Oryctolagus cuniculus: one gene and its partner. The protein of the gene in region 1 interacts with the protein of each later gene in a pairwise test. Links are inferred from orthologs where the notes say so. Each region holds a gene or a part of one and is shown on either strand. Other genes may lie near its edges.

What was found.
Region 2: the proteins of MID2 (region 1) and MFAP1 interact in binary tests that used the Homo sapiens proteins (3 or more experiments, as listed by UniProt). The two-hybrid records come from large-scale screens. The link is inferred for Oryctolagus cuniculus from reciprocal best matches to the Homo sapiens genes MID2 and MFAP1.

Annotation. Positions count from the first base shown.
Region 1 is NC_091453.1:85,475,232-85,479,413, forward strand, and holds the start of MID2 (probable E3 ubiquitin-protein ligase MID2), read right to left. Parts: upstream 2,872-4,182; 5' UTR 2,779-2,871; coding exon 2,742-2,778; intron 1-2,741. UniProt on the Homo sapiens protein: E3 ubiquitin ligase that plays a role in microtubule stabilization. Mediates the 'Lys-48'-linked polyubiquitination of LRRK2 to drive its localization to microtubules and its proteasomal degradation in neurons.
Region 2 is NC_091443.1:66,694,690-66,698,337, forward strand, and holds part of MFAP1 (microfibrillar-associated protein 1), read right to left. Parts: intron 2,683-3,648; coding exon 2,553-2,682; intron 2,289-2,552; coding exon 2,101-2,288; intron 1,611-2,100; coding exon 1,502-1,610; intron 1,415-1,501; coding exon 1,254-1,414; intron 1-1,253. UniProt on the Homo sapiens protein: Involved in pre-mRNA splicing as a component of the spliceosome.

The sequences.
Region 1 (4,182 bases):
AACTGGAAAAAGTTGCAGACCTCCAAAGCCCACAGAAAATTCTTAGGAAAGTTTTAATACATAAAAGTGGAAAGAGAAACATATCTTGATCTTTGGAGCAGAGGGATTTTTTTTTCTAAAGGAAGTCTGCACAGGGGAATGATTGCAGTTGAGATTTCTCATCTCAATGCCACTCATCTGGCCTTCTCACTTATTAGGTGACCCAATGCACTGATTGAGAAACACTTTTCTAGTCTTCTCTGTACATTGCTCAATGATTTACACAATTTTTTGAGAAACCTGAAATACACTAATTAGACACCACTCTGTTACCAAAATTTCATGCACTGACAAGTAAATGGATTTGAACTCTAAACTTTTGAATATCCAGAATGAACATGTAACACCTCATATTTTGATGACACAGTGCTGCAAGTCAAAATATTCAGCTTAAATAAGCAGGCACTTCATAAACAGAAAGCCTCATTTTCCCCACTGAGAGGAACAAAATGTAATTGCTAATCAGAAATAGAGCACCCCCTTAACCACCAGTCACATTCCATGACCTAACACCTAGGAAGTTACCAAGATCCATAAAGACAGATCCACATGAGACATGTTCTGGGGGTACCACCAGAACAGCCATTTGAAACATATTCTGTGCCTCAGCTCTATCTTCACCGTTTCCATGGCTCTATGTCCCTACTGAAAAACAGAACTTGAGTTCTAAGGGATAAAATGAAAAGATAGCATTCCCTCCTCTTTCCCAAGCCAATGAGGTTTGCTGAGTGATAAAGATATACTCTTGTAGTTTCCATTCTCAACTGCTGTAGTGTCAGCAGATTTTATGGGGGGAGGGATGAGGGAATGGACAAGCTCACTACCCAGAGCAGTATCTGGATACAATTATGAGACTCCACTGGCACTACTTTAGGACCAGCAAGTTGGAGCAAGTTACCCTGCTCTTAGAGAAGGGATTACCTAAACCAATTTCATCTAAATCTATTTGCACTGTTCCGATACACTCAAGAAGCAACCAAGTCACTTTGAATTGCAGCAGCACTCTCTGGAGGAGGCCTTGTAAGGTACAACAGGCTAGATGGGAATTCTAGTAGTCACAAAAGTAAATAGGAGGGACAGAAGTAGCCCTTCCTGTACCTAGCCGCTATCTCTACCCTGCACAGCCCCTCCCTGTACTAATCCTGGAGCTGCAGGTATGGAGTTAGGCCTGGAACAAGCAGGAGGCCAAAATGCTGTGCCAAGTCTGGGGTCTCAGCCCAGTCAGCAAAGGACTATTCACAATAAAGGTGCTTAATAAATATTGTTGACTCATTGCTGCTAGCTGCTAATGATGCTTATAGAGCTATGCCTAAATTACTGTCAGTTTTCATTAGAAATTAACTAACTGTCACCCAAGTAGGCTAAAAAGGGGCAAGATTAGATTTTCAAAGGAGTCTGACTCAAATTGTGAGGTTAGAGTACATTAGATATGATTTAAGCACTTATATGATTTATACCATTATCTGTGTGCCAAATTGTATGTAAGTTTTTATTCAATTGTACACACATTGGGGAGAAACAGACTTAGGGTGTAAGTATAACAAATTTGGCTTCCAAAGGGTTAACAATGGCAAATTAAGGTTTCCCATAAACTAGGGTTCTTACTAATGCCCAATCCACTAACCCAATAAAAGGTAAATGAAGTGCTTTCTTTGAAAAGTATAATGCTGAGGATTTATAGAACTCTTTCATCTTCAAAGGACCAAGGCAAAACTCACAATACCCAACACACAATATTATGCCTTTTACAGAAGTGCACCAACTATGAAAGAAAGGTCATAGGCATGTGCTAAGGTCATACAGCCAAGGCAACATCAGATTTGTCATGAACTCCCTGATCTTCAGGTTTCCTAGACCTCACAAAAATCAATTTGTGAGGAACAATTAGGAGAAATCTAATTCACATTATGTGTCGGCATTAAAATAATTCATTGGGCAGGAATAAATAAAAATAGCAACTGTTAGGCCTTCAGGGCAGTGATGAGTGGAGAGGAGGTAGAAAGGGGAGAATGTGTGGAAGCGGGAATAACCATCTGGATAGAATGAAATTGCCCCCCAAAACGAAAAAAAAGTAGGGGAGGGGACCTCCCTGTTCAACAACCCCCTCTATTGGGAAAATTGCCACAGAACTGATCGGAGTACTGGGAGCAAACAGAAAAAGGGTTAAAGGCAGCCCTTATAACCCAACTTGAGATCAGACTAAGCAACCCACGCACAGTACTTGTCTATTACACAATTTCCAATACACTGTATTCCTTTAAAAGGGATCCTCCTTAAAGACACACAACCATCGCCATCCACCAGCCCCACATTCTGAAATCCTCCAAAGGGCAAAGTGGTTGAAAAAGCAAGAGGCTGCGTGGCTGGGGAGTGCACAGATTGATGGGGACAGGGTGAGCACGGAAGTGCCGGAAGGGCCATGGGGGGAGATCTCGATGGGGCAGAAATTTAGGTATTTTCGCCATAGGAAGAAGGTGAGTGATCCTGAAGGTGGTATGGAAGTGCGGAAGAAAGAGGGAAAGTGCTGAGCCCTACCACCCTAGGATCCCAATTTCCTGCTCTACAAGAAACGCCTCCGAAAAATAATGTGCTGCACACGAAGTGCTAACTAACCGAAACCAGCAATGTTTCTGTAAATCGACTCCGCCGTTATTTACTTAATACTTACGAGCAAGGAATGAAAAAAAAAAAAAAACACACACCTCTCCCTGATTCAGTCGCAGTCAGTCCTGTGGACATACGTTAAGTTTCCCCTCTCCCCCACACAGCTGCTTTCACAGCTAGGCCAGAAATAAGAAGCCACCCAGACGTGGAGGATCGCTCCGGCGGCAGAAAAGGGATTAAGTTTCGCCTGGCCTCCCCGCCGGCAGGGTGTCCGCGGCATCGCCCGCTGGCTGCTGGGCCAGCCCCGCCAGACACGGGCGCCTCCCGGGCCGACTAGGCTGCCGACCGCGGAAGCGTGGGAAGGCAGTAGTGCCCTTTTCCCAGACTCGCGCCCAGGCACCGAGGGAACGGCTCGACTGCCAGCGCCCAGCCCGGCGCGGCTCCGCTGGAGGCCTCGGGCCGCCCCCGCACCGCACCCTGGAGTACAAACTCCGTCCGGGGGAGGGGAGGAGGGGTGGGCGGCAGCGGCAGCAGCCCGTGCCCCAACGGCGGACCGGGGAGCCAGAGCCGGACCGGGATCCCGCCGCCGCTGCCTCCAGCCTCACGGGCCCCGTCACTCCACCCTGCCGAGCCCCGGAGCCCTCGGCCAGCGCCGGGCCCGGCGGCACCTGAAGAGCGGCCGCAGCCAGGGCCGAGACCTGAGTGGGCGAGGACACTAGACCCTTAGGGCCGCGGCGAGGGGGCGCGTTTTACCCATAGCGTTCCCAGGTGCCAGCCATCTCCTCCGCGCGCCAGAGAGCGCCGGGCGCTCGCTTGCCTCCGCAGCGAGCTGACTCGGGCTCCAGCGCAAGCTCCCGGGCCGCCGTCGCTGCCGCCGCCACCACCACTCTAGGCCGCCGCCCGCCTTCGCTGCCGCCTTCGCTGCTGCTGCCGCTGCCGCCGCCGCCGCCGCCGCCGCGCAGCAGCCAGGATCCAGCAGCTCGCGCGGCCCGCAGGGGACGGCCCGGTTGTCGCCTCGCTATCGCGGCCGGCTCTCCCCGGCTGAACTTAAAGAGTTTTCACTCCTCAGTCCAGGGGCAGCACCATGACACCACGCTAGCACCACATTGTCATTTCCGCCGCCGCAGAGGAAAAAAAAAAAAGGCAATCCTTTCGCAAAGGGGGGTGGGGGTGGAGAGGGGCAAACAGGGCTGGGGCTAACACCTCAAGGGAGCACTGGGAAGGGCCCCGGCAGAAGGGACCCTGGGCCACCTTCCAGGGCTCACCTTCCGCCACCCCCGCCACTCCCAGCTCCCCTAGCCCCTCCTCTGGAGGCGCATTACATGTTTTCTCCCCTGGCAGGAGTGACCAGAGAAACCTGAGCAGGCAAAGGCAGCCGGTGGGTGGGGTTCGGGTTACTACTGTACCTACCAGCTGATTCCAGCAGCCTTTTCTCCAGCGCCCTGGCATCTTGAAGGAAGGCACACGGAGAGGGGCCTGAGCGGGCGTGTGTGTGTGTGTGTGTGTGTGAGAGAGAGAGAGAGAGAGAGAGAGAGAGAG
Region 2 (3,648 bases), on another chromosome or scaffold:
GGGCAATGGAGGATGGCCCAAGTGCTTGGGTCCCTGCACCTGCATGGAAGACCGGGAGGAAGCACCTGGTTCCTGGCTTTGGATCAGCGCAGCGCCTGCCGTGGCAGCCATTAGGGGAGTGAACCAACGGAAGGAAGACCTTTCTCTCTGTCTCTCTCTCACTGTCTATAACTCTCTGTCTCTCTCTAACTCTGCCTGTCAAAAAAAAAAAAAAAAAAAAAAGAGTGAGTGAGGTAGATATTTAAGTGCTGTAAATCCTCCCACTCACAGTATGCATGCCCCTTTTCTGTGTAACTTTGCTGTTCCTCCAATCTACAGGTGGAGTCTATTTATCTACTCCCTTGAACTAGGATGGCCTGTGACTTGCTGTGACCAGATGTCAAGTCCAGATTTGGCAGAAGTATTTATGAGTTCTGGAACTTAAGCCTCAGGAGGCCTTGCTAACATCCACCCCTGCCCTCTTGTAATGCTGCTCTGAGATTGCTAGGAAAGGTAGCTACTCAAGAAATGAGGTATTCCAGCTTACTGCCAACATCATCTACAAGACTTGGGAGTGAAACCCTTTTAGACTTTTTGGCCCAGTTACTCCCAGTAAAGGAACTGGTCAGCTAACTTCCAAAACTGAGAAATAATAAACTGTGTTTCAAGCTTCTTAAATTTTGGGTTGGGTTGCTACACAACCAGAGATAACAACATTGACTGTGTGTGTCTTAACAGGAAACAAAAGGGAGCATTAGGGGCCGGCACTGTGGTGTAGCGGGTAAAGCCACCGCTTGCAGTGCTGGCATTCCATATGGGCACCAGTTGGAGTCCTGGCTGCTCCACTTCCGATCCAGCTCTACGTGCTATGGCTTGGAAAAGCAGAAGATGGCCCAAGTCCTTATGCCTCTGCACTTGTGCAGGAGACCTGGAAGAAGCTCCTGGTTCCTGGCTCCTGCCACTGTGGCCATTTGGGGAGTCAAACAGTGGATGGAAGCCCTCTGTTTCTCTCTGTCTCCAACTCTTTGCCTTTCAAATTGAGAGAAAAAAAAAAAAAAAAAAAGGCAAGAGCATTGGCTGGCACTCTATGATGGTGAACAAAGTATGTTTCTCCTCTCTGATTTCACTCTAATAAAGGAAACTCATATTCTACTTATGGGAGACTGACTTCAGCCATAAGATCCCTCAAGAAAACTAGAATGAAACTCATGGTGGATGCTATCAGAAACCTGTCCCATTAGTGGCATTAACTTTAGGCCCATCCTATCACTCACGCTTCTCGATCTTCTCTGTCCCTCTTGATTCTTTTTAGCTCCCGGACTTTCCATGCCTCATATTCTTCCTCATCATTTTCGTCATCTGTGTTCAGGGCATCCAGTGCAGCCAGGGACCGCTTGTTCTCCTCCAGCTCTTTCTTGGTCTCCTCCTCTACAATCTGGACAGACAGAATAGTTACGACTACTCAGACAAACCTAATTACATTATTTGCTCTCTCTCGATGCTTGCAACCATACCCCAGTACCTTGAGTGTGTATTTGCGCCTCTCCTCAGCCATGCGCTTTGCTTCCTGCTCCAGCTCCTTCTGCTTCAATGCTTCAGCCTCCCGTTCTTGAACTGTCACTCGGTCCTTCCTGCATTACAGAGGTCCTATTAGTTGCCCAAGTCCTTAGAGTAGAGCTCTTTGTTCCCTTAGATCTAGGCCCATTACACAACACCAAACAATCTTTGACTCTGTTACTTGTGAAGAACCAAAAGTGGCAGATATCTCAGGTCTTTAGACAAAGTTCATTCATCTTTGAGGACTGCCTGGATAGCAAAGAATCTGCTGGACTGTAACTGATAGGATTTCTAGTCATTAAAAAAGGAATATGAGTTTACTCTTCCTGCTTAATTTTCTGCTTAAAATTGATAACCTTGAGCAGATATGTGCTCTTTAACGGGAAAGAGAGATGTGAAAACAAACAGGCTCTCTGCTAATGCCAAGATATTCTTTAGCAAGGGTTATAACACTGGGCAAAATGCTTCCACTTAGTGCTTAGATTTCAGAAGATCATTGGATAGAAAAGAGGCTTTAATCCTGGTGTAACTAGTGGATTTGGACCAGGTTTGTGAAATACTTACTTTCGAATGAAGACTGGCTTAAGGCGAGGCTCCATCTCGTCTTCGCTATCTGTGTACTCTTCATACTCAGACTCTGATTCAGACTCCTCCCCGGAACGTCCCTCATCTTCCACCTCCATGACTTCCATCTCTTCGTTTTTCCGCTCCTGTGCTCGCTGACGCATCATGCCACGGCGCCGCTCTATTTCCTGTAAAATCATACATCTAAGCTAGCCGGTCAAATGCTCTTAAAAGGATTTCTTATTTTTCCCTCATCAAGCTCAACAAATTCTGATATGAACCAATGCACCTTAGCATCATTCTATTATTTTCAATCCTATCCCCACCCACCAGGGAACATTATCAGAATTTTGCAAAAAAGAGCAATATTGTGCCAACAGGAGCTTAGGAAATGAGCACTGGCTTCAATTTTTTCATGCACCCAGAAAAACTTCCCATTTTCCTAAACATACCTCATCATCTATTTCCTCCTCCTCTTCTTCACTGCTGTCTTCTCTTTCCATGCGCCAAGCATCTCCTTCTACTTCTGAGTCACTTTCTCCTACTACTTCAGGTTCCACTATTTTCCGATGTCGAGCCAATCTGAAAAATGGTATTTCCAAGGGTAAAACCAGTGTTACAAAAATGAAGGAGTATCAACCACACTTCCTTCGTCAGAGAGTACTCTGACATGTTCACTTTAACACTGAAGGCTAGTGATTGGGAAACTGAGATGCAGGTCAAAAAACCTACACCAGAATGTCAGAGCAAACAGTCAAGTAGAGTGTAAACCGTTAAACATATGCTGAGGCATCCTGAGTAACACAGCCAACTTATGGGGGTGCAAAGGGATATTTTTAATAGCTCAGGGTAGTTCATAATTACAATATTAGATCATAACACATTCCTTTCAATGACATCATATCTATGAAACTGGATTTTTGGTGGTCACTGTGATAAAAAGCAAATACAGCATGAAACTAATGGGAAGGGGCAGGCATTATGGTACACTGGGTTAAGCTGCCCCTCACAACACTGAGACCCCACATCAGAGTGCTGGATTGAGTAGCAGCTATTCCATTTGTAACCCAGCTTTCTGTTAATGTGCCTGGGGAAGGCAGCTCTCTGCTAATGGCCTGAGAAAGCAGAGAAAGATGGCCCAAATACTTGGACCCCTGCCACCCATGTGGGAGACCCAGTAAAAGCTCTAGGCTTTGGCTTGGTCTAGCCATGGCTAGACCATTTGAGGAGTGAATCAACAGATGGAAGATTGATATCTCTGTCTCTGTCTCTTCCTCTCTCTGCAACTCAGCTTTTCAAATAAATAGTTAAAAAAAAAAAAATAAGCAGTACTGGCATCCCAATCCCATATGGGCGCTGGTTTGAGTTCCAGCTGCTCCATTTCTGATTCAGCTCCCTGCTAATGCACCTGGGAAAGCAGTGTAAGATGGCCCAAGTTCTTGGGCCCCTACACCCACATGGGAGACCTGGAAGAAGCTCCTGGCTTTGGATCAGCTCAGCTCTGGCTGTTGCCGTCATTTGGGGAATGAACCAGTGATTGGAAGACCT